Danio rerio: one gene and its partners. The protein of the gene in region 3 interacts with the protein of the main gene of each other region in a pairwise test. Links are inferred from orthologs where the notes say so. Each region holds a gene or a part of one and is shown on either strand. Other genes may lie near its edges.

Region 1 (11,076 bases), about 1.2 Mb from region 3:
GCTACCTAACCTGTCTTTTGTCTCTAGGTAGTTTACACAAATTCGGATACGGGTAAGGACACATTGGGATACTGAGAATATGAAAACTTCCTCATTGTAATCTGTGAAATGACAACATAACTGATATTTTCCACATATTAATTTTATAACGTACATTATGAATAAATCATGTGATTGTTTCATTTAAATCAGGGTATCTTTCGTGCATTCCATATCTGTTTTAAAAAAAAAGCAAAACTAAGAAAATGCCAGTTTTTTGGTTTTTCTTTTGCACACAAAAAACTTAAGTTCATAGTTTGCTGCCAAACTTCTTGCTGCTGTGCACCTAATGCTGAGCAAAGATAGCCATTTCCGAGCAGAACCTGGTTTGCATGATTGCTTCCGAGCAAGGCCTTTATAATAATAATAATATTAATAATACTAATAACAGCAATAAAAACAAAAACAATAATAGGCTAATTCATTCATTTAATTATTTTCTTTTCGGCTTAGTCCCTTTATTAATCTGGGGTCGCCACAGCGGAATGAACCGCCAACTTATCCAGCATATGTTTTATGCAGCAGATGCCCTTCCAGCTGCAACCCATCACTTGGAAACACCCATACATTCTCATTCACATACATACACTACAGATAATTTAGCTTACTCAATTCAACAATAGCGCATGTCTTTAGACTTTGGGGGAAAACGGAGCACCCAAAGGAATCCCACGTGACCGCAGGGAGAACATGCAAACTCCACACAGAAACGCCAACTGACCCAACCAAGGCTCAAACCAGCGAGCTTCTTGGTGTGAGCAAGACAACAGCACTACCTACTGCGCCACTACATCACCATAATAGGCTAATAATAATAATAATAATAATTAATATAGTTTATTTAGCGTTTTGTTATCGTTTAGTCTTTTTAATAGTTGATAGCAGGACCAGAATAAGAACACAATGGGCCAATAACAAAGGCTATTTTATAATAAAGAATATTATTATGGGGGCGACATCACAAGTTAAGATTTGATAGACCAATCAGAGGAAAAAGAGAGTTTCAGAACTGCCTACATGTGCATAATGAATTTTAAAGTTGTTTATCCGTTTTCCTACCCTAAACCAAAAATGCTTTTTTGTTTTTGTTTTTTGTAAGCAAAAAAAATTTTTTTTCTTAGTTTTCCTTCTTTGGTTTGAAAACAGATATGGAATGGACTAAAGATACCATGATTTATTTACCAGCAATATTTCAATCATTAATAAATAATTGCTAGATTTTTCTAAACATGTCTATGTTCATTTAATATTAGATATGAAATATATATTATATATTATATCTATCTATCTATCTATCTATCTATCTATCTATCTATCTATCTATCTATCTATATATATATATATATATATTATTATTATTATTATATATATTTTTTTTAAAACATTGTTTGTGGCTTGAGATTGAGACGGACCTTGAAATGGCTGACTCCCTTATCAGTGCCCTGACTACGGAACAAGAGAGCTGATTGAGACGCACTCCAATTCAAATACATATTTTCAATTTAGATTTTGAATGAAACTACTAGAAAAACTGTGATTTTTTTTAATATTCATATACTACCAGAATTTTATGTATATCAGTGTGGTTGTCACCCCTATGTATGCACAGAACAGGCACAAGCACTAAAAAAGATGTATGGACAACCAAGTAGTTTTTATGTAGTGTACATGGCCATCTAGTGCATTTTATTATATAAAAGGTTATCATATATAATCATGTCTCCAGTCTATAATTAGCATAATGACTTTCCTACTATCTGAGCCATTCAGTCTTAAACGACCTTCTCATTTGTAGTCATATAAAGTTGATGCAAAATGTTTATCTGATTGGCAGCCATATTCTATAACCTAAACCTACATATACTTCTTACTATTTAGCCAACAAAAGGGAACATTCCTACACTCATAACCTGTTCTGAAGTGTTCTAGCCATCGTCTCCTGTTCTGTAGATCAGCCTGAACTCTGTGACATCTGAATTTGAGCAGAGGTGAACATGGCAGAAGGTCTTGAGCCAATCCTCTATAGATCTAACCTTTACCACAGCTGTGTTTTCACTCATCTCTGCTGAACTGTCTAATCAGAGTCTCCTTCGAGTGGAATACAGTTAACTTCAGTGAGTCTCTGGAAAATAAACTTAAACCAAAGATACAAGTGTTGACAGACATGCATTCAGTAGATAGCTTGTTGTCTTTTATAATGTGAATACATTTTCATAGTTTTTACTGATCTGAGTAAGCAGCTGACAGGAATTGATTGTTTTGTTTATAGTTTTAAAGTTGGTTTGAATTTGGTAAAGGAGGCACCATCAGTTCATACCCTGCCTGGTTACTGTAGTTTTCATTTCTATGGGTGAAAATGCATTTCAGATAGATATGGCTATTACAGAAAGCATGCTGTCAGGGTTTTTTTCCCCAAAAAGCTGAAACCTATCTGTATTTTACTGCAGCCATTTGATCAAAATAAGCAGTATCATTTGTTGCATTTTATTTTAAGATGTCTTTGATACTTTGTAATACAATTAAGTATTGTGTAATATTAATTAATTAATTACATATACTTAGTAAAGATTTAAAGATAAAAATGTGATTTGGTTTAGGGTGCGTTACATGTAATTATCCTAATTTTCTGTTTTTTTTTACTGTTTAAATAAATAATTAATAATTTACTGTTTTTACCGCAGTAAGTGCCATCTGAAATGTTATTCTAAAATGAGCATTTTTATCCAGTGTCTAGGTTTAATCATTTCACTTTTATTGTTCTTTTGACTGCCTTCAAGTGAAATAACTGAACATAAACACAGGAGGCTAAGAAACATTTCTAATAAATTTATGAGAAAAAAAATTCTTTATAAGAAAAATTTGAGGAGGCTTTTGCATGCACATTTTTTATAAGATTTCAGATTGGCGCTTAGAGGCTTTTGCATATAAATTCTTAGTGTATAAAAAGGACACTGATAAATAAAAATATATTTCAATGTCAAAAAATAAAAAGTAAAACAAACAAAAAAAGATTTCATCTAAAAATAGCTAAACAAATTGATAACTATGGTAACCAGGCTTTGTTTTTCCTCAGTAAAAGTAAAATTAAAGAATTTAGCACTATTATTAATTTTAATGTAATTTTGATTTTTTAAATATGCAGTAATTGAGAAGCTATGTGTTGAAGGGTTTGAATGAGAACATTGTTTGTTTATTTATTGACATGAAAGAGATCTTTTAATATTAAGGTTTGAAGAGGATCATGTTTTACTATGCGATATTCGGAAAGAATTCAGCTGATTTTACATTTTTTGTATTATGTGATTTTCTGCAATGATGATTTGACATATTAAATCCAGTTTTAAAAATGTGTCATAATTAAGTGAGATTCGATCAATGTCAGTTTTCACAACTCAGATGCACAATATAAAAAACTTGCAAAAATCAGCCAGTGCAATAAACTCCATGAATGTTCAGTATTAACCCATTTCAAAGTCTCTGTTTATTTGTGTGTTGATAGCCCTGTGGTACTTGAAGGACTAAGTTTTCTCCTCACGACAAAATGTTTCTGCAAGAGTCTGGTTAAAAAAAAAACACCAGTAGTATAAAACATCGAGCAATGTCTGGCTCTTTCTGTCCTTACACTCAGCATGAAGTCTATTCCTCTACTGTGTACTGCAGTAGATCTCACAGGTCAGAATCAGAGTCCAGAGATTTATCTTCCTCGTTCTCTTCCTCCATGTGTGTATCTTGTGAAACTGTAGACGGTTTGCTGTCGGAGCCTTTGGCTGAAAGCTTTCTCATCTTAATGCAGGGCAGTTTCTTAAGGTCACCGTTCCATTCTCTGTCAAACACATGCTGACTTTTCAGTACTCTGTGCAAGATGTTATTAACAAAAAGAATGATTTTAACAAAATAAACGATGTAGCAACTACCTGAATATCTTCAGATGCTTAGCATTGATGATGTCAGGAATTTCTGTAAAGTGAAAAAGAGTAAAAAAAACAAAACTTTTTTACTATTTAGTGCAGTTTTTCTAAACCTGACCCACAGGGGGTCACAGGAGAGTCTGTGAGGAAGCTTTAAAAAAAATGAATGTAAACGAAACACATAAATAAAGCTGATTAAAATAATAACAATTAATAGTAATTAATAAAATCATTTCATTAAATATTAATAAATATATAAATATAAAATAAAAATAAAATAACCAATAAAAATGATCAAGATGAATTGCAAAAACAAAAATCTAAAACTTCCAAACAACAAACAAATGATTAAAATGAACCTTTAAAAACTGATTAAACTAAATAAAATAATTAAATTGTGTAATAAAATATAAAATCCGTGTTAATGAATAAATTAACATGAGTAGAGGCAAAGTGTAGTAATGTATATTATCGAAATTTAGAAACTAAACATTTTTTAAACAGTATTCATTTTTTACAGCATGAGTGAGGTCTATTTATAAACTAATTTCAAGAGGATCACCTGCTTATGATTGTTCTCAGCTGGTCTCACATCAGCTCATGATTGATTCTCCAATTACATGATTTTTAAACTCACTATAAATAACTAGATTTCCTATTTGAATATCTTTGTCTTGAAGAACCCACCCCTGCTCCCCCTCCTTTCCAGATGGGTGACAGTGATTAGCACTGTTGCCTCACAGCAAGAATGTCTCTGGTTAAGCTGCGGTCACACTGGAGTCTGATTATGCGAAATTGTGTCGTGCGGCGCTGCGAAAAGGGGCAGGAATAAACAAAATTATTAGGCATTAAAAAAGTGAGCGATTGCTCCATGTTTTAAATTACTGTCCAGAGTGGTCATGTTTTGATCCTCGATTGTTCTCACGCAGTCAAGTGATGCGATTTCGCAGGTCAGAAATCACCAAGCTTGAACTTTGCACCGAAGCAACCTGTGAAACTTAGCACATGATACAACCTGTGAAACTTAGCACATGATACCGAGTTTCCGGCCTGATGCATTAGCGTGCGTATGAATGAAAGTCTATGGGAGGAAAAGCCCAGTGTGACCGCAGCTTTAAAGTCTCTTCTAAACTAGTTAACCAGTTAAGTTTAGTTGTTTTCTCCAGGTTCTCCAGTTTCCTCTCACAGTCCAAAAGACACGCAACCCAAAGTAAACTGAAAATACCAAATTGATACCATAGCCAAGCTATTAGTACATCTTTCCTCAGCCATCCTATACCTGTCATTAGCCAGAAATAAGCTGGGGGGAGTTCATCAAGATCTACCTGAGCTCAAACTCGCCTCTCGTCCTCCAAACGGGAGGGAGCCCAGGACTCGAGGATCTCATTAGCTCAGGGCTCTCTCCCAGGACAGCATGCCACACAAGCTTTGTTATTAATCATCAGCTAAATGTTAAAACTTGAAATGAAGTATGATGCATTTTACAATCTAATATAATTATATTTAGGGGTCTGTGGCATAATAAAACACAGTTTTGTTCCTTCTAAATAGTGTCCTAATTATTATGAGAAACATTTTAGTTCAAACATTTTCAACATGGTTATCATGCAATTCTTATTAAAAGGGAACAAATAAAGACATCTAAATTATTTACCAAAGCCATTGCCTTCATACTGAGCTCTCTCTCGCTCTATGGTTTGCTTGATGATGGCCTCTCTAGAGCTGTGCTGGCGACCCTGGCGGCCTTTGATGCTGTTCGCCAGCTCGATCTGCTCCAGTTCCCCATCAAACCGCTGAAGATACCTGAGAAAGTTGTATTTATAAATATTCTTAATATACAACTTTTTATCATATTTAAACCTCGGGATGTGTCATACCTCTCAGTTATTTCACAAGCATCTTGTCTGGTGTATTCTGGCTTGTCAGGGTTCAGCTGGTTTTGGAACCACAACAGTTTTTCACCTGCAGAAAATGAGTGATCAGCAAACAGGTAAATAATACATTAGATGAACTTATGTTCTTATGCTAATGTTCTGCCAATGTTTTCTCCAAGACACAACCAAATGTTCCTCCAGTAATGATAATTGCATATTAGTTCAAAGCTGTCTTTTATAACCTATCTGGTAAGACAAAAATATTATTTAAGCATCTTTTAGACATTTTTTTTCCTGAAATGTATTATTGGAAAGTTAGGCATGTTAAAACATGTTTTAAAACGTCAATAATTAATTGTCTGGAATGATTCTGAGAATGTTCAAAAATAATCAAACTTAATATCTTTTCTAACGTTTACATAACAAACTCAACAACACTAACGAACTGAATGTTTAGAATATTTTGTTTTGTATTCAACAGAAGAAACAAGTCCTTAAAAATTTGGAACCACATGAGAGCAAGTAAATGGTGAGACAATTTTCATTTTTGGGTGACCTAGCCCTTTAATTGAATGTTAGCAAAACACGTTTCCATTAGCTTTGGGAAAATACCAAAGCTAACAGAATGACAAAAACTTTCACATTCATTGCTTCCACAAATACAATACAGAATAATAAATAATGAACTACTCACCAACTAAATTTAAACGCTGGGCCTTTTCACATTTTAACCTAGAGGTGATTATACAAATGCTACATTAACAAAAATAACAGTACTCGGTATAAATTCATTTGCTTTTTAGGGACAAAAAAATAAATCGTGAATTGGAAAAGGCTCTTACTTTTCTTTCCTCTCTTGTTTGATGGCATCTCTGGCCAGATAGGCGGCTTTCCTGCTGTATGGGTGAATAACCTTTTTCTCCACCGGCCCCTTTGGTTTTCTCCCTTTAGGCTGAAATAAGAACGCCAATTAGTAAACGCGACATTTAAATGTATATTCTGATTATGTAGTCGAAAATGAGTTTAAAACTTACCATATTTGTTAATTTAAGTAAACGTCTATCGTTTACACGTGTGACGTATGGGGGGAAGGTTTAAAGGACGGACCGGTTCAACGGTATTTTTGTTCCGTGTCTTACACATTTACCACAAGCCTAGTAGGTCCCTTATAAATCTAAATTCTTTATACACAAGATAAAAAATCTCAGAAAAACTGTAAATAATATATATATGAAATTGTTCTTACTGCTGTTTTCTTTTTTCTTTTTTGCAAAATTACTTTATCAACCTTTCGTTCATATTTATGACCATAACGTTTATTTGTATAACTTTAATGTTTTATGGTAGTTTAAACATTATGGCACGGTTTGACTTTTTATCCATTGTATATTTACTTTGTACATTCAGGTTTTAGGCATTAATCTTATTACTCTTATAAACTAAATAATATATATTAATATAAATTTAAAATAATAAATTAAACAATTATAATACTTATTTACAAAATTGTCCAACTGCAGAACGGTTATCATTTAGTTTTGATACAAACTTTATATTGCTTTTCAAATGTAATTTTGCATCAGTAATCAAAGAACTTGTCAAAAATAAAGCTTTTAATCTACCTAATATTAATTACTTTACTCTTTATAATTTTTATGTTTTACATGAATTATTATTATTATTATTATTATTATTATTATTATTATTATTTCTCGTTTTGCTTTTTATTTAACTTTACTGTATTATTGTATTTATATTCAGAGAGAATACTATCACGATGTAGAAATGATTTAATAATACATAACTATTTACTTAATATATAAATGCCTTAATTTAGTTTACATAAAGCCAAGCATTTTAATATTAATACGTTAAATACCAAATGACTAAACAGCAACGACCAGAAAATCTCTGCAGAGTGTGCGCACGTTCTGCACGTGCCAAGTTGCAACGGCAGTGTGTGAGTGCGCGTCCCCGTCAGCAGAGCGCGCCCGCGGACTTCTGTTTCTGTTTGCGTCGTCGCTCAGCTGGTGCGAATGTCACATGACTTCAGCATGGATCTTTACTAGAAACCTGCGTCTGAACGCTCGTCCCAATGGGGAAACGCGAAGCCCAGATTTTGTGTTGATGAAAAGCAAAGCAACAGCATGCCGACGTTGCTGCAAAAGCTCTTCAGCAAGAGAGCAGTCGGTAACGGTAACGGCAGCGCCCGGGACTGCTCGACGGGAGCGGAGCAGCGGTAAGTAGGACCGTTAGCACGCGCATGTTACTATACCTATGGAGACACAGTCACGCGCTCTGCACACCTGCACGCGCCAGTCTGTAAAAAAGCGCGTGCCAGTCTGAGCGTTTAAATGACAGTGACGAGCTCTCCGCTGCATCCAGCTGTTTATTTCTATGATAAAGAGCAGAGGCTCGTGCAAGTTTATGATCAGCATTTTATTGTGCTATCACTCGCAGGCCGTAGTGTTATTTGATCTGTACGCGCTGAAGAGTCACACGCACGAGCTCTGCGTCTGGTCAGCTGAGTTATGTAACACCTAGATGCAATTATGCTTGCACAATACCTGCGAGTTTTCTCTTGTTTTTTAAGTGTTTAGCCTATGTCTATTTGGCTTCTGTTGTGCTCCATTTTTTTGTCCCTGTATTCTTGTTAGAGTGACTGGAAAAGGGTTTCATGGGAGAGTCAGTAGAAAGAACACTGCTGGTTAATCACGCCAGATTTGTGGTGTCACCTAAATTTGAGGCAAATACCTGTCAAAACACCTTATTCTAAATGTAAATAAAAACAAGTTGCAGTGTTGTTTTTAATATTAAATGGGAGGCTGTTGTTGATGATTAATTATTTAGTTTTTATTTCACATAATAACTAATGTTTATTTATAATGAATTAATGACGTTTTTATTTGTAACTTGAAAGACATCATCTGTCATCTGTAATCTATAGAAAGCAACCGAAAATATGTGTAACTCAAAAATGCATAAATCGTAAATCCAGAGATGAATTTTTTTAACTGGTCTCTTAATTTTTCCATAGCTTTGTGTGATATATAATTTTATTTAACTTTCAAAATAAGGTACATTTACCCAAAAAACAGTCCACTTGATCACTTTTTTTATTAAAATATAGTTTTTCATTTAATTATTTTTTTTTATTTATTCATTTTTTTCAAGTTGGGTAAATGACAGAATAAAAATTTTAAGTGAATTTTCTATTTAACCCTGTTAATAGAAGTGAAAGCTTGGATGTTGGGGAATGAAAAATTGAGAGAGAAGAATGTGAAAAAAAATATATAAATACAATTTTTAGAAATAAAACTAAATATTTGAAAAAAAACTATTATATTGCAAAAAATTGGTATTGATTTATGTGCTAACATACCTGGCTAACATATGCCTTTATTCAGCAATGTGTTTTGATGGACTCTTTCCAAATACATGGTCGTATGACAATCATGCAGTTTCCTAGAAGGAAGTGAACTGACCCTGTTTACCAACTGATAATACAAGAATACTGATTGCAGTGTTAAATAGGTGGTTCAATGTGACGGAAAAGATCAGTAAAGGGATTTCCATCTAATGCAATCACCTCACAATGAACTCCATTGCTCAAATCTGGCCTGTTTGCACAATTAATTTAGGTCCAAACCAAAGAGTTTCAACATAAGAATATAAATGTTCACTTTTACTTGTATAATAATTTGACACAGGAATAAATACAGCTCTCACAAAACAAAGATTTGTTTACGTAAAGCGGCAACAAAGTAAATTTTTAATGTAAATTTTTAAAAGTAAATTCTTTTTTATGCTGCACTGCAACATGTAGCACATTTTAAGTAAACGCAGTGCAGGGCTGCCGGCCAATATTATGACATATATTTTAAACTCATGTTTTTCAGTTCTGTGTTAGAATTACATTAGATTATATGATTTATTTTTGGAATTTGTAAAACTAGTTTAAGTTTTAAATGTTTGCTTTAAATAATGTAAATTGTAGTACTTTAACAACAAAAGTTATTTGAGTTAGTTGCCAAAGAAAGGGATTATTAACAATACCTACAATAACTGATAATTATATAAGTATAACTAATGATTTCTTAAAGCAAAAGGTGTCAGAAAGTTTAACCTGGTGCCATAAAGTCAATCTGCTGCATGTGACTTTAATATAAAATAATCACTCAGGTGGTCAGCTTGTTGCGTTTTATTTGCATGTTGTTATTGTAACAATTTTTATATTCTTTAGGCTATGGATAAAATATAGTAATTTGAATGGTTTAATAAAATGAAAATGATTTTTGGAAATCCCCAAGCACCGACTCCCACTTTGGAAACCACTTCTCAGGTCTGTTTTGAGTTTAACGTTATTAATCTGTTGTACATGCTTTTGTCGATCTCATCTGTTCACATTAATTTTTATTAACATATTTTAAAGCAAGGCATGTATAATAGCAGAATTTGTGCATTAAACTGCATTACCCATGCAGTGTAGACAATTCAACCAATCAGAGAGTCGCAGAGAGCAAAGAGCAGCAAAAGATTTCTTTATATGATGTGACTGACAAAAATGAGCTGGTATGCTATCTGTGTTTATTACATGGTTTGTTGAAATTCTCTATTCTGATTGGCTGGAAGATGTGTCATAAAATCATAATAGAAATAAATGGAGAAGGGTATAACGGAGGTCAGAGCCAGCTCCATGTGGGCTGTACAAACCTGGAGTTTTTATTTATTTAATGTCTTGTACATGACGCGGAGTCCAATATTGTGCTTTATGAATTTCCCCAACCTCACAGTAACCTGATGTATTTTAATAATATCTGCTCCACCTACACCACCTAAACCCAACTTACTTGTGGTTTAAGTCCCTTCCACTTGGAGATCACCCAACCTACTTGCGGTGTAATCCCTCCAGCTTGGAGGTCTCCGGGCTGCAGCGGTACCTACTGTACCTGAATAAATGTGCTTTTCAAACATTAGTTACCATATTACCTCTGTGACAGAGCCTTCATTCCTCTGTGTAATCTTGAGGACACTGACCTGTTCTTCACCAGTCGATGGGAATTAACCAACTCCAAAATATGCTCAAAAATATTTGCGAAAAGGTAGCTTACCGTACGTTCACACCGAAAGCACTGAAAGAGTCAAAGTAGCCGGAAGTTGTTCATTTTTAATGAGAGCCTGTGGCGAGGAGCAGTGCGGCACGTCTTCGCCGGTGTGGGCGTCGAGGAGAGTTGAAGTAAAGTCAACTTTATGGT
Region 2 (10,546 bases), on a different chromosome or scaffold from region 3:
CGTGGGTTTCCCTCGGGGCAACCCGGTTTCCTCCCACCATCCAAAAACATGCAACTTAAGTTAACTGACTAATCCAAATCGGCACTATGCTCCTAGTAAGTAGCAATGTCTTAAGAGCAATCCCTATCTGTTCATTAGCTACTACAGCAGGGGAGATCTATATCTGAGCTTAAACTCCCCTCTCGCCTTGCAAACTGGAGAGAGCCTCAAGCTCGAGGATCTTATGAGCTCAGGGCTCTCTCCTGGGACAGTATGCCAAACAAGCTTTATAACCAATCATCAGCTAAATGTGAACTCTTAAATTGTCATAAAATTACATAGTACTTAAATGCAAAATATGTAAGATTCTTTTCATTAAATTTTCCCAAAAATACTAGAATAGTATTATATACAGTATTTTGCTGACTTATATATACAGTAGTTGAAATTAAAATGATTAGTCATCCTCTATTTTTTACCCAATTTATGTTTAAGGGAAAGACTAATTTTGTAACACATTACTAGACATAATAGTTTTCATAACTTATTTTCTAATAATTCATTTGTTTTATCTTTGCCATCATGACAGTTCTAGATATTTTCAAGATATTTGTAATCAGCTTAAAGTGCAATTTAAAGGCTTAACTAGGTTCATTAGATTAAGTTATAATAATTAGTCAAGTCATTGTATAACAGTGGACTTAGTATTATTATTATTATTTTAAATGTAAACTGCTTTTATTCTAGCCAAAATAAAAAACAACAAACAAACCAAACAACCACTTGCCTAATTACCCTAACCTGCCTAATTAACATAATTAATCAAGTTGAGTCACTTTAGGCTGTATAAAAGTGTCTTAAAATTATCTAGTAAAATATTATTTACTGTCATCATGCAAAGATAAAATAAATGAGTGCTTAAAAATGGTTTATGAAAACTATTATGTTTAGAAATGTGTTAAAAAATATTCTCTCCGTTGAACAGAAATTGGGGAAAACAATAACCGGGGGGTGGGGGGTAGCTAACAATTTAGGGGGGGTAATAATTCTGAATTCAACTGTAGGTCATTTTAACTAGTGACAAGTGACATGGGCCATGTATTGTGTGGGCATGCTAATCATATCACAAATCTTCAAAATCTGGTTGGGTTTTCTGGAAAACAAGGAAACAACAAGGACGTTTTAATATGTTTAATTAGACTGTACAGTGTATTTAGAATGATAAAAAAAGCACTGCTTCTTCCATGACTAAAAAACAAGAAGCGGCCCACTGTGGCATAATAAAAGCTCCACTGCTTTTGTTGCTCCCAAAATACTGTGCCTTTAAGTATACAGGTGATTTATCAGTGCACCTTTAAAAAAAAATCATAAAAGGTGCACTAATCATAATTGTTATTAAACTATTAACCTCCCTTTCCACTTCGAGGAAAGTGGGGCTCTATAAATATTCCACAATTGTCTGTGTAGTTAGTAATGGCATTTCTTAAGATCCAAACTGAAGGATGAAATCAAATCCCGTCCTACATCAGATCTTTACCAAAAGCTTTTTCACTTAAAAATATTTCACAATATGAGAAAAAAAAACTTCAATTACATGCTGACTTTAAAGTGTGGTCAGACTAAACTTTTAGTTCCTTTGACTCTTTTGACTTTCATTCATATTTATAGGACAAAGAAAGGAAATAGAAGTTCATTCTAATTTTGCAGCATTTCCAGTTTCCAGGTCCATTTTTCGCTACAATGCAAATTCGAATCATGTAAATACATTGGTTTCCTTCAGAAAATGCATCAGCTGAGAATAGTACAATATTTTTATTAATTTGGATACATCATTTATAATCACTGCAATATTCAGTATAAAAATGTATCATAATCCATGTGCTCAGAACCAGGGGGAACTTTAGGAAACCAGGAAAAGGTGTGAACTACACTCATGAATACTGTAAATGTAGACATATAGAGCAAAACCAGGAAATCAACTAAAATGACAGTTTTCTTGATTGCACACATAAGATATGTCAATGAGATGTCATTGAGTGTTACAGTGCAACAAGCTGCAGGATAACACTCTTTAGCAGCCTGGATTCAAGTATTAATACAGGAATTAGTTTAACAGTGACTGCTCACATTGTTAGTGGCCTTGGAAATATCTCAGGAGTTTAAGGAAATTGCCTTGAATGAAATCAAACTGCTTTCAGATTAATCAAAACATTTGATGTGAAGCCAAAGCCAATGAGGATTTAAAAAGTGAGATACTCTCTTCTTCAACTGTCTCATTTGATCTCTTTCAGTAATTCTTAGCAGAATTAATGTATTTCCAAGTTAAAGAAACACAAGAGTGGTTTAATTACAGTATGGAAATTAGTTTGTTTAGACCTTGAGTTTAAGGTGTTCAAATTACATTTGTACAGCATAAGCAAATAGTTATTTATCATATTAAACTGTAAATGAGAATGTTAATGATGCTATTTAGTTGGTGAGTTTGTTTACTGCAAGGAAACTCATTTAGCTAGTTTATGAGGAGATAAGCATTTTTATGAACATACACATTATGTTCAAAACCTTTGTTAATATTCATTTGATTCATCTTGGATACATACAATTGATCATGGATTTTGGAAATTGAAGGATCTGAAGGCTGGAATAATGGTTGTTGAAAATTGATCCAAACTCAAATGTAATATATATGCTAGTATATTTTCTTTACATTTAATCATTTAAAGGGCACCTAGGTTACCCCTTTTTACAGATGTATTATGAATCAAACACACATAAAGGAAGCAGATCACATGTGGTGTTTGTGAGAAATACTACAGTAAAATCTTAACCAATGAGTATTTGATGCATTTGCAGTGTTAAGTTACAACGATGAGTCACATACAATGTCATTACAAAGTTCACGCGCACACACACAAACACACACAGACACACACACACATACCCAGGACGGACACAATATTAAATTTTAAAAAAAGGACTGTTTATATCACCCCGATTTGACCTCCAATTTGACCTCCTATACACTATACTCAAACATGTTTCTGTCCAAACACCATAGGTACCCTTTAAAGTAAAAACATAAGTGAACCTGGATCACAAACAAGTCTTATATTGCAGGGGTAAGTTTTGGGAATAGCCAAAAATAAACTGTATGGGTTAAAATGATTGATTTTCATTTTATGCCAAAAATAATTAGTCTCTTAAGTAGAGATCTTCTTCATTGAAAACATTTAGCAAATATCATTCAACAAACCTATCTAAGAGTAATTTTGGATTAGTAATATGAAAATTTCTAGTTTTTCAGCTTTTAGATGATATTTAAAGAGCCCATATTATACATGAAATAAGGTCATATCTTGGTTGTAAGGGTCTCCAACAACAGTCTAATATGCATGCAAGGTCAAAAAACACTTTCATGGTCTTATAATCTGCATTTATTTTTATCTAATTATCCCAGCGACTCCTGTATGAATCGTCCAGTGATTCATTTGTTCCCAAACCCCTCCTTAGCGCGGAGCTAATCTGCGCTGATTGGGCCGATGACAGTCTGTCGCGATTGGTCGACTGCCTTCAGTCAGAGAGGGAAATGGCCAATAGCTAATCAGCAATTTAAAAAGTAATCACAGTTCATACACGCTCGATAGTGTAGGCGTTGACTTTAGCTGCCACACTATGGCGAGTGGATAGTGCCACGGATAACCTAACGAAGGAGACAGTCGTGTACTCGCCATACCACACACACACAAAAACACACACACACCTCCGGATGACAACGCTCCCGCTTCAGCCCGCACCCGCCAGGTTTTAGCCTGAGAACCCGCTCCGTTTTCTGCCCGCCGCGCCCGGTCCCGCTAGAGCGGAGAACACAACCAAATATCACCCAGTATACAGTCCAGACAGCCAAGATGTCTGTATAAACACATACACACAGCACAAAGTACACAAAGCTCGTTCGTTCGTTCGCTCTCTCTCTCGCTCTCTCTCTCTCTCTCTCTCTCTCTCTCTCTCTCTCTCTCTCTCCCCGCGCCAGATTTCTGCGGCGCGGGAATACATTTCCGAATAAATCGCGGGAGCAGAACTCTAGCACGGAGCTCCATAAACAAACAGCACGCGTCGCGTTTTTAACGTGACTTTGCACGCGATAAGATAATATATCCAGTTAACCTGATACAGTACACGCGGTTACAAGTAACAAATCACAACTAAATACATTTGCAAGCTAGAGTAAACGAGGAAACAACTTTAACCGCACGTACTTACACTTGAGAAATGTAGGAAGAAACCCATCCTGACGTCCATCAGTTACTCTTTACTGATCCTTCCTTTAACAAACTCAGATGAAGTATTCTTTGTAGCATGTAGCTTCCAGAAGTTTCCAACTGCTTGGTTATAATGCTGATGTTTCATCTTTGGGTAGAGACTCAATATATCCATCTGCAGTGTGACTTCAATCGACCGGCATGTTTGTGTGCGTGTGTTTGTGGGTGTGCGTGTGTTTGTGGGTGTGTGTGTGTGTGTGTCTGGGTTACTGCGTCAGAGGGCGGGGCCTCAGGTTTGAAATCTCCCGGGTTTGCGCGTGCACGTGAAAAACTTTGTTTCGTTCGTACGTCATGGCGAAACACCTAATGAGTCGGTATCAAGGCGACTCGTTTGAAGCACTATGATTCGACTCTTTTATAGATGAATCAACAGTTTTAAACACTGTATTCTTACAGATTTAAGCCTTAGCTGGATACTTCACTTCACTTAGAGCTGTGTTACACACTACATGGAGGGGAATTTTCAAAAACCCATAATATGGGCTCTTTAAATCTCATTTTCCAAAAGTTAACCCTGATAGTTTTGTGGTCCACGGTCACATATATGTAAATTAACAGCTAAATATGAATCCTTGAAATTGAATCAATTCCATATATTGACGTAAAATTATGCAGCAGGCACACAACATCATAAGACGTTAACATTAGGTTAGATTTAGGTCATGACGTCAGGTGACCAAAATTTAATATCTATAAGGATTTTTGAGGTCCAATAACCAAACCAAATTACATTAATATTTGGTTGATTTCAGGTTGGAATGGAAAGTGACCAAATCCCAATGTCTGATAGATGTCATAGTGCTATCGTCCACACAACGTCAAGGTGTAACATGATTAGATGCTAATATTTGGTTAATTTTACGATGGACGTTGGACATTGATGTCGACCTGACGTTGGGTACTGATGTAAACCCAATTTTCATTTCCAAACAATGTAATGTATTTATATAGCGCATTTATTGTGTATGGCCATACACCCAAAGCGCTTCACAATCATGTGGGGTGTCTCCACACCACCACCAGTGTGCAGCATCCACTTGGATGATGCGACGGCAGCCACAGGACAACAGCGCCAGTGCGCTCACCACACACCAGCTATTGGTGGAGTGGAGAGACAGTGAAAGAGCCAATTCGGTGGATGGGGATGATTGGGAGGCCATGATCGTATGGGCCGATAGGGGGACTTTGGCCAGGACACCGGGGTTAAACCCCTGCTCTTTCACGAGAAGTGCCATGGGATTTTTAATGACCACAGAGAGTCAGGACCTCGGTTTAATGTCATCCGAAAGACGGCGCCCACAGACAGTGTAGTGTCCCCTTCACTTTTACTGGGGCATTAGGACTCACATAGACTGCAGGTTGAGCGCCCCCTGCTGGCCTCACTAACACCACTTCCAACAGCAACCTAGTGTTCCCTAGTGGTCTCCCATCCAGGTACTAACCAGGCTCAGCCCTGCTTAGCTTCAGTGAGTAACCGGTCTTGGGCTGCAGGGTGACATGGCTGGGGGTAAAATCAAAAATCAAATGTCCCCAAGATGTTGGGGTACAATGTCAATATGACATAGATGTCCTTTGACTGCAGGGTATATTTATTTTTCTATACAGCCTTCTTTCGTATAACAGGAATAAATTACATCTTAAAATGTATTAATATTTTGACAATTTTATTGTTTTTTAAATAAAACTTTTGACTGGTGTTTGACCATCTTTGACTAATTTTGTGTCATATACATTTTTGGTTTGGAGATTTTTATAGGGGTTTTCTCATTGAGTTCAACTGGTCTGTTGGCGCAGCCTGATCATTTTTTTAATATTCTTACAATCTGTGTGGCATAAATTGTATTTTTAGAATTGGCACGCTTGATTGAGGAAGTATTTTCCTCTGACATTGAACTCCTACCTGTATCTAAACATACAATAATATCCACACAATGAAAACCAGCTGGTACAACAAGCACTGACTGTTTGTTGACAGCCCATAGTTTAGCTCTATCACTTGAACACAAGCTGCTATGACACTGATGACAGCATTTATTGAAACTTTGCACTGATAAACCACAATAAAGCTGTATTTGTCTGGTAATGCACTCAATACCTTTGACGTTAACAGTGATGTTGACTTGTTTTTGAAGACCTGGCACTGAAGGTACAGCTCCGACACACACGTACACACCACCGTCAGCCAGAGTCACAGACTCCTTAGCAAATACACCAGTGTTTGACAGCTCCTTCGAGTCCTGTGGTTTACAGAAAGACAACGTAGACACTGAGTCAACTAAGATTTAGTATAACCAAAAAATATACAGCCAAATAAAAATATTTTTTTACTCAAAACTGAAAAATCTGCCATAATTTCCTCCCTTTTCACTTGTTTTCACTGGTTTGAGTTTTTTTAATTCTGTTTAACACAAATAAAGATATTATGAAGAAAGCTAAAAACCTGTAACAGGTTTTTACCTTCCTTTAAAATATCTAATTTAGTGTTCAATGGAACAAAGAACCTCATAAAGGTTTATAATGACTTGAGAATGAGTAAATAGTGAGTAAATTTTCATTTTTGGGTGAACCGTGACTTTAAAGTAATATTTTGAAAAAGAAAATTCAGATTTGCTTGTGTTATTCCAAACCAATAAGACTTTTTGTTTCATGTTCTACATAAAATTCAAGCTATTTTTACTGAAATTGGAGATTTTTGTCTCTCTGCTAAAATTCTGTCTCGTTAGGAACTAAAATGGATTTGAAATGGCAATAAAGATATGGTGAATGGTAATGAATTTAATTCTTGGGCTCTCACCCAGGCAAGAGGTGCATGAAAAAAATAAATATTTGGAAAAAGAAAGCATTGTTGTTTAAGCAGTAGCAAAAAGTGTCAATTACATATGAAAATATGATTAAAAAAGTTATCTTAATTTTGTTGCTATACAGTACGTATTTGACATTTCTGTATGTGAATGATGACATCACATGCTGCACTCGTTGCCATTTCCATTTTTAATTATTGACATCATACGTAATATTAATTATTGTCTCTTTTTTTGTAGATGCTATTTTTACTTAGTTTACATTGTAGAAAGTGTTAAATACAAATGATTTGATTTGACTTTATAATAAGGGGAAAATAATGAGGTTTTCCAACATTCTTCAAAATATCTTCTCTCAGAAAAAAAGAAGCTCAAACTGGTTTTGCAATGATGGCAGACTTTTGATTTTTTGGATGAACTAGCACCTTAATTGTATTTGAGTAATAACAAACAACAACAACATAATATTATAACAAAAACGAGTGCAGGAAAAAATGAAGAGATTATCTTCACTTGCCTTTGTCCACTGCAGGGTGTGAGCTTCAGAAGCCTTGGCCTTACACTGAAGCTCCACATGATCTCCTTTAGAAACAACCAAGGGCCCTTCTGGTTCCACTGTTATGTCGATATCTGATAGCACAACAAAAGAATGCATAGAGATAAACACATCTTTTAATCAACATCTTGATTAAGTGAAATTTTTGCTGTTTGACATTTTCTCAGAAAACTCTTTTCTGATGTATCGAGCCTAGGATGGATACGTCCCATTTATAACAAAATCATGGTGTTTGGATACCTAAGCTAATACAGTCAAGATAAAGATTTTCTTTGTTGACTAGTTTATTGACTAATAAACACATGACATTATTTAAATTGTTTGGAGATTTTTAGAGTTGTAATTAAGGCAGGGAAACACTGTTATTTCCAGCACTGTTCTACATTACAGAGAAATACTAAACCACATTAATAGGTTTTGGAAATTTATTTCTTATTATTTTTGCCTGAGTAATGAAGTTTGCCCTGCATGCTCACAATTTTTTAAAAACTTTTTTGGTGTGTTAATCTAGTCAATAATATTATTCAGAAGGTCATGATTCACAAGAGGAATCAATGAGGAATTGGACATTTCTGTGTTTCTTTAACGGTTTGTTTTTATAACATTGTGAATCATAGATTTTGAACAAATAATGTAATGAAAATGTATTTCTTACTATTCTGAACTTTCGGAATTTCCTTGCATTGATGTAGACATGAATAAGTGTGTGATAATAATTGATATGCTATTTTCAAGTGTTATAATGTTTTGAAGGCGAAGGTAAATATTTCCTTTGTAGTTGATTGTGGTTTATTGAAATGAAAATGAGATTATATTTAATTATCGAGTGGCTGTCTAACTAATGACATAATGTGATTGACTGTGGGACCAGGAAGGCACACACTGAGGAAGGCATAGTGCCGAAACATCTGTGTTTTGTATCACCTGAATAATGTAAAACAAAAACTATACAAAGCAAATATTTAATGTGTGAATTATGATCTTCTGAATAATATTATTACTTTTGGCAATTTTTTTCTTTCTCTAAATGTAGCATGTGTCATGCCCATGTACAGTATGTTATATAGCTGTGTCATATTTATTTTATTAGCCTTTAAATGGCTAATACTTTCACTGCAAAAAATGCTTTTCTTGCTTAGATTTTTTGTCTTGTTTCTAGTCTAAATATCTAAAATTTCTTATATCAAGAAGCATTTTTTAGACAAGCAAAACATATTGCCTTGTTTTGAGAAATAATATGCCAATATTAAGTCAGTTTTTTCTTAAAACAAGCAAAATAATTTGCCAATGGGGTAAGCAAAATAATCTTGTTTTTTCTTTTGACATAAGATTATTTTGCTTACCTCATTGGCAGATTATTTTGCTTGTTTTAAGGAAAAACTGACTTAATATTGGCATAATATTTCTCAAAACAAGGCAATATGTTTTGCTTGTTTAGAAAATTCTTCTTGAAATAGCAAAATAGCTAAACAATAAAAATGCAAACAAAAAACATATTTTGACAAGTTATAATAGCATTATATATATATATATATATATATATATATATATATATATATATATATATATATATATATATATATATATATATATATATATATATTTTTTTTTTTTTTTTTTTTTTTTGCATTTCAGGTATTTTCCATTCTAAAAATATAAATGTAGCATTTGCAGCTAAGTGAAATACAATAAATTTAATATTAAAAACCACAAAAACAAATTAAATGAATTCCCAAAAGTTAAAATAACTAAAGATTGAAAGTATAAATAAGAAATATAATTACAAAGAATAAATTAAAAGACCAGTTGAACATTGAAATGCAACAGTTTAGTTAGATCTTCATTTGGTGAAATAGCCCTGAGTTAAAAAAAAACTGGCATTTTTTAATAAAATGCTCTGAAATAAATAAATTCTCTAAATGACCATATTTCAATTAGAATTTAGAAAGAATGGTATCAGACTTTTACAGAATTAAGCAATTATTAACATCTCAAATAAAAACCACTAATAATAAATGCTGTAAATCCAGTGAACTTGAATTTTTTTATAGGAACTCTTAATTTATCCTCTTTAATTTATCCCCACAGTTGTTTTCCAAAGCATATATGTACAGCCCATGCAATAATAATAACAGTAATTTCTCCAATTCATGAGCATTTTCTCAAAATATGTATTTATCTCTTCTAAAAGATGTAAATGTTAGTGTGATCATAGTGAAATCATTTATTCTTTCAAATTTCCTTTGTCTTAGTCTCTATTTCAGAGGTCGCCACAGCGGAATGAACTGCCCACTATACCAACATATCTTTTTACGCAACGGATGCCCTTCCAGCCGCAACCCAGTATTGGAAAACTTTGTGAATCAATAAACTATTCACATACTTTATTTTAGTTATTATGTCTTGTTTACATACTCACAGTGCACGTTTATGTTTAGAGTTTTATGAAGTTGGACTTTGCTGTCAGCTTCATAATCCATAGCTTCACACTTATAAGTTCCAGAATCCTCCCGAGTGATGCTCTTTTTTTTCAAAGTGCCTCCCAATCCTTCCAGCAATTTTTCCTTATGAGTGAGCGAGAAAACATGAGTAAGAGTAATGACCATTACTAGATCAGTTGGTTGTGATTTGGCATGTATGGTCTCTTACCCCTTTAAAAAAATCAAACTGTGGCTGAGGGTTTCCATCAGTCTCACACTGCATCACCACATCATCGCCCTCTTTGATTGGCCCCTCGTTCTTCACTTTGAAGAAGACGTTTTCTGTTGAATCTGATTGGAGGAGTAATAGTTTATATGCAGTACAGTACATATGCAGTAATGGTGGAGATTTCATTGTGTGTGTGTGTGTGTGTTTGTGTGTAAAACTCACATTGCAATGAGATGTTGAAG
Region 3 (11,032 bases):
GTAGCAACGGATTCTGCTGTTTTGACGTCAGCTGCAGATGTGAATGGAAGGCAAAGGAAAGCAGTTCCTTGTACAAAAGGATTTTTAGATTCTCTGTGTTTGATTTTCTTTTTATATACATGATTATGGAATCGAATTGTTGCATAAACACAATATCACACTTGTAGCAGTGCGACGTGGCTGTATTTCGTCACTAAGGGTGTCACGATTTCGGTTTTAAATCTAAATCAATCGAAATTCATGCTCAATTTCGATTATCGAATCAAAAAATGGAATCGTTGATGCTGCCACGCCCACATGTCATGTCAGCTTGGCTTGCCAAGCGGAAAAAAGGTTGTTGAAGTGCTTGTTGAACTGCAGACGCAGGAGACCCGTCGACAATTTGCAAGCTCTGCTATGTAAGTATTAAGGTTGGGCCGTTAGAAAAATGCAGGCATCGCGATCCTCCACTCCGCCCCCGTTGCAAATCCGCTCGCGAAAAATACACACTCAGGCCCTGTTTACACTAATAGGTCTTAGTTTATAAATGTCATTTTATAACGACAACGATCCACATCTACACTGGCGTTTTGCATTACTAAGCAGCCCTCCTTCCTCACTACCGCTGAAAACGCACATCACAAGACCACACACACAGGCTCACACACAGATGCACACACACACTGTTATGTGCTCGAGAAAGCGGGTACAGGCAGTCAGCGTGTCAGTAGACTACTTCAATCTTTCACTTTCACACTTGTACTAAGTAATTTTAGCGAACACCTCAGATACTGTTGGCTGGTTCCTGTTGGTTGTGCACCTTTTTTACCGACGCCATTATAAGGACACAGATCACTGCCTATTTATGAGTTCACGAAAAAAGTTATTGACAAGTGGTAATTATGTGTGTAACTTATTATTCATTTACTGTATGATTTGTTTCTGATTTTGTTTAATTTTTATTTTTTTAATCGAAAGTCGAATCGAACCGTGACTTTAGAATCGAAAATGTAATTGAATCGAGGACTTGGAGGATCGTGACACCCTTAATCATCACTGGTGAGACACTAAGACACTCGGTCTGCGCAAAATGTTTTACTACAAAAAAAGTAAGCAAAACACTAAGGCACTCGGCCAACGCACGCCTCCGACCCGTGCCAATATACAGCCATATCGCACTCTACAAGTGTGATATTGCGCATATATTTTACATTAAGTTCTAAATAAAGTGAAACATATCATCCCAAATATCGCACGCACGCACACACACCTGCGGAGCTCGTTCATGATCCTGAAGGCTTTCTTCATGTGTCGTGGATTGATGGTGACTGCACTCTGTTTCTCATACACATCATCCTTCAGCTCCACAGCTTTATGATGGCAAAGCTTAGTGCAACTGAAATACAAATATATGTTCATGTATATATAAAATAGACATTCATATCTGATTTCAATGCTTCGGCATATGAGAAGATATTCAAAGATGGCCATAGGATCTATTCCTGTTTATATATATATGGAATAGTAACATTTCAAGATAAGTTTGTATTTTTATGTAATATTAATCAGGGTAATAAATATTACAGATGTAGTGGTCATGTAGTGGATAGTTTATGCTGATTTAGGCAATTACATATAGGTTGTATTATTTAAAAAGGCATAGTTGACTAACATGATTTAATAATTAAACATGATCAAGAATTAATTAATATATATAATATTTACACTCATATTTTTGTAAAATAATTGTACTGTGTTTTATTTTTTGACATAGTATCCATTTAATGTAATGTATTGTATAGTGTGTGTGTATATATATATATATATATATATATATATATATATATATATATATATATATATATATATATATATATATATATATATATATATATATATATATAAAACGCATTTATCGTGTATGGCCATACACCCAAAGGTCTTTCCACACCACCATCAGTATGCAGCATCCACTTGGATGATGCAACGGCAGCCACAGGGCAACGACACCAGTGCGCTCACCACACACCAGCTATTGGTGGAGTGAAGAGACAGTCATCGAGCCAATTCAGTGAATAGGGATGATTGGGAGGCCATGATGGATCATTGGCCAGGACACTGGGGTTACACCCCTACTCTTTGCAAGAAGTGCCATGGGATTTTTAATGACCACAGAGAGTCAGGACCTCGGTTAAACGTCTCATCCAAAAGATGGTGCTCACTGACAGTATAGTGTCCCCTTCACTACACTGGGGCATTAGGACTCACACAGACTGCAGGTTGAGTACCCCCTGCTGGCCTCGCTAACACCGCTTCTATCAGTAACCTAGTTTTCCCATGTGGTCTCCCATCCAGGTACTGACCAGGCTCAGCCCTGCTTAGCTTCAGTGAGTAACCGGTTTTGGAATGCAGGGTGATATGGCGGGCATTTTTCATAGTTATTATAATTTATAATTCATACAAACATCATAATTTTATAAATTATTAATAATTTATTTGGTTATTTGACATAATAACATTTATTTGAAATAGCGGTGATATAGTGCAGTGTTAATTCAAATAAAGAAAATTTAAAAGCCTAAACAAATATTGAGTATTACTTTAACTTTCACATCATAATGAATCAGGAGTGGTCCTGGAGGGCCGGTGTCCTGCACAGTTTAGATCCAACTCTAATCAAACACACCTGCTTATAGATTTCTAGTGTTTTTGAAGACACTGATTGGCATCTTCAGGTGTGTTTGACTAGTGTTGGAACTAAACTATGCAGGACACCGGCCCTCCAGGACCGAGTTTGCCAACCCCTGTACTAAGTAAATAGTCCTACTCCATACATTTTACACAGATACTTCATTCATTCATTTTCCTTCGGCTTAGTCCCTCTATTCATCAGGGGTCGCCACAGCGGAGTGAACCGGCAACTTGTGCAGCATGTGTGTTGAACAGCGTATGCTGGGACATTCTAAATCGCCTAATGTGAAAAAAGCTTTTCATGGCTCAATGAACCTAAACATCAACCAGAGAAACCCAAATTTCTGTCAAAGTAAAGTTTGACAGAAATTTGGGTTTCTCTGGTTGATGTTTATGTACATTAAGCCATGATAAGCTTTTTTCACATTAAGCAATTTAGAATGTCCCCAGATGCCCTTCCAGCTGAAACCCAGTACTGGGAAACATGCATACACATTTTCCACAGATAATGACAATATACAGTTGATGTCGAAAATATTAGCACCCGAATTACTAGCCCCGTTTATTTTTCAGCCAATTTTTGTTTAACGGAAAGAAGATTGCTTCAGCACATTTCTAAACATTATAGTTTTGATAACTCATTTCTAATAATGGATTTATTTTAACTTTGTCATGATGGCAGTACACATATTTGACTAGATATTTTTTAAGACACTTCTAAAGTCACATTTAAAGGCTTAACTAGGGTAATTAGGTTAACTAGGCAGGTTAACAATGGTTTGTTCAGTAGACTATCAAAAAATATATAGCTTAAGGGGCTAATAATATTGACCTCAAAATGGGTTCTAAAAAATTAAAAACTGCTTTTATTCTAGCCGAAATAAAACAAATAAGACTTTCTCCAGAAGAAAAAAAAATCCGACATACTGTGAAAATACACTGTACAGTTTGTACAGTTAAAAAAATAAATAAATAAATAAAAATAAATAAATAAATAAATAAAAAAAAATATATATATATATATATATATATATATATATATATATATATATATATATATATATATATATATATATACATATATATATATGAGCAATTCCAGCATTATGTATGTGACACTTGCAGTTAAAACTCAAAACATAAATTCACATAGAAAGTATACATTAACATTATGTTGACACATCTGTTTATATTTTCCAAAACAACTAGCCACAAAGTTATGGGATCAGAAAAATATCAATCTGTAAACATTTTTTATACTTTAAATAAGGAAAATAAACATGCATTATGGATGTGACAAAGAAAAGTTTGCGAGTTTACAGTATACAACATACTTTGTAGAAAATCTGTGAATTAAACTGCACAACCCAAAAGAAACAAACAGATATGAGTCGGCTCACTATAGAACAAAAATTAATGATTTTATTTTATTTGACATTTTTGCATTTATGAGGAAAAAGTGTCGTTATGGATGTGACACATTTCCATTATGGATGTTACAGTTGTGAAATTGCCACTTGTGTGATTTTGGTAAATTAAATATAATAGTTTGAAACACTGAAAGATACATTTATGAACTTTTAAAGTACTGTAAAATACTTGCTCACACAAAAACTGTACAAACGGTTTCTCTATTTTGGTGAAAACTTAATTTTTTTCATGGCAAGGTTGACATTTGCATGGAATTGCTCATTATTTTTTTTAATCAGGGCTGCACGGTGGCACAGTGGGTAGCACAATCGCCTCATAGCAAGAAGGTCACTGGTTTAAGCCTTGGTTGGGTCGGTTGGCATTTCTGTGTGGGGTTTGCATCTTCTCCCCATGTTGACGAGTGCTCCGGTTTCCCCCACAGTCCAAAGACATGCGGTAGAGGGTGAATTGAATAAGCTAAATTGGCCGTAGTGTATGTGAGTGTTTGCAAGAGTGTATGGGTGTTTCCCAGTGTTGGGTTGTGGCTGGAAGGGCATCTGCTGCCTAAAACGTGGTGGATAAGTTGGCGGTTCATTCCACTGTGGCGACCCTTGATTAATGAAGGGACTAAGCGAAAAAGAAAAATTATTTTTAAAGAATGGTTTTAATCATTCATTTATTTGCTTGGCACAGTTGGCAGTTAATTGTCAACACAAAAATTATGCTAATGGGCTAACAGTTATCATTAATATACATTATTAATTGATCTTCTACATGTTTACATACCTAAAACTGCATAATTACAAGCAGACGACTAAAAAAAAAGTCACCACAAAGCAAAAATGACTTTCCTTGTGAAAACATTTGGCCACCACAATGCAAGGTTTACCTGGACCACACACACACACACACACACACACACACACAATGTCTTATCTCTACAGTGGCCATATGGCAGTTATCAAATGTGACATATGTGAATTGCTGAACATGTGACAGAAAGAGTGTTGGTGGTGTGTGGACAAAGACGTGATCATGTGATCTCATGGCTGAACTGATTTACTCTATATTGACATTACAGTAGTGTGAACACATGCAGCTCACACACACACACACACACACACACACACACACACACACACACACACATACACACACACACACGGAGCTCTTACAGTGGATGTATCTCCATAGCGCTGGTCTTGTTCACATCAGTCTGCGTCTCTCCATCTCTGGCCGGACTCTGTCGTTTAAATCCCCGCTGTGTCCCGTCCACCGAACCAAGCCAAACCGGGCTGTGCTGAGTCCCGGTGTGCGGGTCCAGCTCCGCGGAGGAGGGTGAAGGTGGTCCGCAGAGAAGGTGTCGGTGTGACTGACGTGTCCGGGTAATGAGCGACAGACAGGTCCGCTGTGTGGGTGAAGAAGACAGGACACATCCAGAAACGGAGACGCTACAGCTCACATACAAAAACAAGAGTGAAGGAAAGACTGACACTCTCCTTCGGCGGAGAGCAAAACCAAGTGCGGCGCCACAGCGACCACTGCTGCTGGAAGACCACATGACAGACCGCTTCATATGAAGGTAATTCAGTTGCGAAACTCGAGAGCTTGCAAATGTAAATGTGAGCACTTGTAATAATAATATTTGTATGTGTAGGTTGAAATGTACACTTACAGCTCTGATGTGAACAGCTGAAATCCTCGATTTGCACACACACACAACAATCCACACACTTGTGTTTTAAATTCGAAGTTGCAGATTAATAGTTGTGTATTTGTAAAATGTCATTCACAAATACAAAGTGACAGACACACGTGTGCACGGCAAATTTGACTGCATCTTCGCTCTACAACCACAGGTCGGCACTCACAACCTCTCAGATTCGTCAGTACAACTACAAATCTCCCGCGCTCTGACTTTTGCTACACATCTCCCGCGATCTCTGTAGCAGAACTCATCTGTGCACTCGCAGATGCAGAGGCGTGAGCAGCGTGGGGCGGGGGAGGGGCGGGGCTGGTGTAAAGCTGTTTGATTGGCTGATGCCTGACCAATGAACAATGCCAGCAGCCAACAGGACTGAGGTGCAAAATAATCATTTCCCACGATTATTTTATTATTTAGGGTTTTAACAACTCTTTTCTGAAGAGATTTTTGTTAAAAATCATAAATTCTGTGGAAATGTACATACCAGTAAAAGAGCAGCAAAGCCAGTTTATTGGCTACAGCCAGCCAATGAGATGGGGCGTTTCTGTTTGTCAGCACACAGGGCAGCTCACGTTGTTGGAGGCCTCGAGCAATCAGAGGGTAAGTTATGATTTTTAATAATTATCTATATGTTCAATACTGTTAGCTAAGCTAAGGACTGTGCTGGGTGCTTCTCTTGTTTGTTTTTTATATAAGAAACAGTTATGAGTTATCTAGGAGCTGCTTTCAATCATGTTATATGGTTCTAAAGATACGATTCAACCCACATGAAATAAGAAGTTGTAATAGTATTTATAGTAAATAATATTACGTTTTTGAACCATACTAACTATAGTAAACTGTATTAAACAGTATATATTGCAGTATCTACAACTTTGTTAATGAATGCAACAGCACACTGTAGTATTAACTAGCATGAACTGTAATAAATTGAAGTATACTTGTATGTATGTATGTATATATATATGTATATATATATATATATATATATATATATATATATATATATATATATATATATATATATATATATATATAGCTTAAACTTGAAAAAATTGAAATATAGCTATCTGTTTAAAACTAAACATTCTAATGCCATTTATTATGCAAATATCAAGTTGAAACAAATCTGTTAAAAACATGTATTTATATGTAAAACCTAATACATTTTAAAGCAGTTTCATTTCTTTCTAATTTTTACATCTACATGCATTACATCTGATTTAGGTCCACAACTTGCATCCTTCAACATGATATGTGTGTTCAAAGGAAGAGCAACTAGGTGAGGGAGACAGTGTCCATCGCTTGGCTGAGGGTCCACTTTGAGCATCTCATCTGCAGGGTTAAGCAACATAAGCTGAACAGTCATCATCTCTCTCTATTACAGCGAGCATCAACCAGCTTTACACAATGGCTTGCTTTCTGACCTTTAGTAAAGGCTTGAGCAAAGTATTAAAGAGGAGATAACATTTGATGGGTAATGATGAAGTTGGATTTACCACCTCCATCTCATTATGAACAAGGAAAAACCCTGAAATATTTCAATACAAGTAACTAGACATTTGCACTGCACTTATTTGGACTGTAAATTTTATTTGACAAATTACATTCTCTTACAGAACAGGTGTCAAACTCCTGGAGGGCAAACTCCTCCAAGTTCCTGGAGGGCTGCAGCTTTGCAAAGTTTAGTTCTAACCCTAATTAAACACACCTGATCAAACTAATTGAGTCCTTCAGGTTTGTTTAAAACTTTCACTTAAGTGTGTTGAAGCAGGGTTTCAACTAAAAACTTGCAGGGTTACGGGCCTTCAGGAACTGAGTTTGACACCCCTGCTTTACAGTAAAGTGTAAAAATACTACATTAAACAATTATCAAAATAAAAGTTGTGTGTGTGGGTGAGTGTGTGTTTTGTTCAAATCTGTAGTCATCTTGGCAGGTAAAAAGAGAAAATAAAGTCGGCTTCCTCTTGAACGATCTGAATCATTTTGAAGTGTTTGTAGATGAGCTGGATCATCATGTCATCTTTAGCATAAATAACATCCTATTCAAGCTATGCAGCTTCTCTGAGTTCCTCATTGACTTGAAACACGCTGATCTCTCCTGTCACTTCATCCTTACAGGAAACTGAGAAATAACCTATAGTTAGTAACTTTCATAATTAAAAAAGTGATATAAAGGACACACTGTACACAAACATGTAAATAGATAGATGGATAGATAGACATGATGCAGGTTATAATAACAAAAACCGGTATGATCTGTAAGAAACTGAAACGCCTAGTGTTATTTTTAATTGCTATTAATGTGTGTGTGTGTGTGTGTGTGTGTGTGTGTGTGTGTGTGTGTGTGTGTGTGTGTGTGTGTGTGTGTGTGTGTGTGTGTGTGTGTGTGTGTGTAAATATACTTCAATTTATTACAGTTCATGCTAGTTAATACTACAGTGTGCTGTTGCATTCATTAACAAAGTTGTAGATACTGCAATATATACTGTATAATACAGTTTACTATAGTTAGTATGGTTCAAAAACGTAATATTATTTACTATAAATACTATTACAACTTCTTATTTCATGTGGGTTGAATCGTATCTTTAGAACCATATAACATGATTGAAAGCAGCTCCTAGATAACTCATAACTGTTTCTTATATAAAAAACAAACAAGAGAAGCACCCAGCACAGTCCTTAGCTTAGCTAACAGTATTGAACATATAGATAATTATTAAAAATCATAACTTACCCTCTGATTGCTCGAGGCCTCCAACAACGTGAGCTGCCCTGTGTGCTGACAAACAGAAACGCCCCATCTCATTGGCTGGCTGTAGCCAATAAACTGGCTTTGCTGCTCTTTTACTGGTATGTACATTTCCACAGAATTTATGATTTTTAACAAAAATCTCTTCAGAAAAGAGTTGAAATAAACCCTAAATAATAAAATAATCGTGGGAAATGATTCTTTTGCACCTCAGTCCTGTTGGCTGCTGGCATTGTTCATTGGTCAGGCATCAGCCAATCAAACAGCTTTACACCAGCCCCGCCCCTCCCCCGCCCCGCGCTGCTCACGCCTCTGCATCTGCGAGTGCACAGATGAGTTCTGCTACAGAGATCGCGGGAGATGTGTAGCAAAAGTCAGAGCGCGGGAGATTTGTAGTTGTACTGACGAATCTGAGAGGTTGTGAGTGCCGACCTGTGGTTGTAGAGCGAAGATGCAATCAAATTTGCCGTGCACACGTGTGTCTGTCACTTTGTATTTGTGAATGACATTTTACAAATACACAACTATTAATCTGCAACTTCGAATTCAAAACACAAGTGTGTGGATTGTTGTGTGTGTGTGCAAATCGAGGATTTCAGCTGTTCACATCAGAGCTGTAAGTGTACATTTCAACCTACACATACAAATATTATTATCACAAGTGCTCACATTTACATTTGCAAGCTCTCAAGTTTCGCAACTGAATTACCTTCATAGCTTCATGACAGCGTGTGTTTGTGCGCGCGCGCGCGCGCGCGCGCGTGTGTGTGTGTGTGTGTGTGTGTGTGTGTGTGTGTGTGTGTGTGTGTGTGTGTGTGTGTGTGTGTGTGTGTGTGTGTGTGTGTGTGTGTGTGTGTGTGTGTGTGTGTGTGTGTGTGTGAGTGGTGTGTGCGCGTGTGTGTATGTGTGGTGTGTGTGTGTGTGTTTGTGTGTGTGTGTTGTGTGTGTTTGTGTGAGTGTGTGTGTGGTTCTTGTGTATATTGTGTGTGGTGTGTGTGTGTGGTGTGTGCGTGTGTGTTTGATTGAGTTTATATTGTGTGTGTGCGTGCGCGTGTGTGTGTGTGTGTGGTGAGTGCGTGTATGCGTTGTGTGTGCGTGTGTGTGTATGTGTGTGTGTGCGTGTGTTGTGTGTGCGTGGTGTGTGTGTGTTTGTGGTCGGTGTTTGTGTGTGTTTGTGGTGTTTGTGTGTGTGTGTGTGGTGTGTGTTTATGTGTGTGTGTGGTGTGTGTGTGGTATATGTGTGTGTGTGTGGTGTGTGTTTGTGTGTGTGTGGTGTGGTGTGTGTGTATGTGTGTTTGAGTGGTGCGTGTGTGTGGGGTGTGTGTTGTGTGTTTGTGTGTGTGTGTGTGTGGTGTGGTGGTTGTGTGGGGTGTGTGAGTGGTGTGTGTGTTGTGTGTGGTTTGTGTTGTGTGTGTGTGTGTGTTTGTGTGAGTGTATATTGTGTGTGCGTGTGTGTGTGGTGTTTGTGTGAGTGGTGTGTGTGTTGTGTGTGTGTGGGGTGTATGATGTGTGTGTGTTGTGTGTGTGTGTGCGGTGTGTGTGTGTGCGGTGTGTGCATGGTGTGTGTGTTTGTGTGTGTGTGTGTGGTGTGTGTGTTTGGGGTTGTGGTTTTTGTACATATTGTGTGTGGTGTGTGTGGTGGTGTGTGTGCGTGTGTGGTGTGTGCGTGTTTGTTGTGTGTGGTGTGTGTTTGTGTTTATGTGTGTTTGTGGTGTGTGCGTGCATGCGTGTGTGTGGTGAGTGCGTGTATGTGTTGTGTGTGTGTGTGTGTGGTGTGCGTTTGTGTGGTGTGTGTGGTGTGTGTTCGAGTGTATATTGTGTGTGCGTGTGTGGTGTGTGTGTGTGTGAGTGGTGTGTGCGGTGTTAGTTTGTGTGTGTATGTGTGTGTGAGTGGTGTGTTTGTGTGTGTGTGGTGTGTGAGTTGTGTGTGTTGTGTGCGTGTGGTGTGTGTGTGTTGTTGTGTGTGTGTGGTGTGTGTTTGTGTGAGTGTATATTGTGTGTGTGTGTGCGGTGTGTGTTTGTGTGTGTGTGCGTGGTGCGGTGTGTGTGTGTGTATGTGTGTGTGAGTGGTGTGTGTGTGTTTGTGTGGTTTTTGTTTATATTGTGTGTGTTGTGTGTGTGTGGTGTATTTGTGGTGTGTGTGTGCGTGCGTGCGTGTGTGGTGTGTGTTTGTGTGTGTGTGAGTGGTGTGTGCGTGTGTGTGTGTTTGTGGTGTGTGTGTGTGTGTGTGTGGTGTGAGTGTATATTGTGTGTGCATGTGTTGTGCGTGTGTTGTGTGTGGAGTGTGTTTGTGGTGTGTGCATGCGTGGTGTGTGCATTTTGTGTGGTGTGTGTTTGTGTGTGTATGTTTGTGTGTGCTGTGTGTGTGTATGTGTGTTGTGTGTGTAAGCGTGTGTGGTGTGTGCGTGGTGTGGTGTGTGTGGTTTGTGTGTGTGTGTGTGTGAGTGGTGTGTGCGTGTGTGTGTGTGTTTGTGGTGTGTGTGTGTGCGGTG

The links.
Region 1: the proteins of klhl2 (region 3) and tma16 interact in binary tests that used the Homo sapiens proteins (3 or more experiments, as listed by UniProt). The two-hybrid records come from large-scale screens. The link is inferred for Danio rerio from reciprocal best matches to the Homo sapiens genes KLHL2 and TMA16.
Region 2: the proteins of klhl2 (region 3) and bcam interact in binary tests that used the Homo sapiens proteins (3 or more experiments, as listed by UniProt). The two-hybrid records come from large-scale screens. The link is inferred for Danio rerio from reciprocal best matches to the Homo sapiens genes KLHL2 and BCAM.

What each region holds. Positions count from the first base shown.
Region 1 is NC_133176.1:21,259,641-21,270,716, forward strand, and holds tma16 (translation machinery-associated protein 16), read right to left. Parts: upstream 6,963-11,076; 5' UTR 6,859-6,962; coding exon 6,856-6,858; intron 6,774-6,855; coding exon 6,664-6,773; intron 6,554-6,663; coding exon 6,516-6,553; intron 5,910-6,515; coding exon 5,825-5,909; intron 5,751-5,824; coding exon 5,602-5,750; intron 3,997-5,601; coding exon 3,954-3,996; intron 3,863-3,953; coding exon 3,706-3,862; 3' UTR 2,294-3,705; downstream 1-2,293. UniProt on the Homo sapiens protein: Involved in the biogenesis of the 60S ribosomal subunit in the nucleus.
Region 2 is NC_133191.1:25,330,262-25,340,807, forward strand, and holds part of bcam (basal cell adhesion molecule isoform 1 precursor), read right to left. Parts: coding exon 10,527-10,546; intron 10,427-10,526; coding exon 10,305-10,426; intron 10,220-10,304; coding exon 10,075-10,219; intron 7,730-10,074; coding exon 7,617-7,729; intron 6,536-7,616; coding exon 6,394-6,535; intron 1-6,393. UniProt on the Homo sapiens protein: Transmembrane glycoprotein that functions as both a receptor and an adhesion molecule playing a crucial role in cell adhesion, motility, migration and invasion.
Region 3 is NC_133176.1:22,476,270-22,487,301, forward strand, and holds the start of klhl2 (kelch-like protein 2), read right to left. Parts: upstream 5,571-11,032; 5' UTR 5,273-5,570; coding exon 5,256-5,272; intron 1,376-5,255; coding exon 1,250-1,375; intron 1-1,249. UniProt on the Homo sapiens protein: Substrate-specific adapter of a BCR (BTB-CUL3-RBX1) E3 ubiquitin ligase complex that mediates the ubiquitination of target proteins, such as NPTXR, WNK1, WNK3 and WNK4, leading most often to their proteasomal degradation.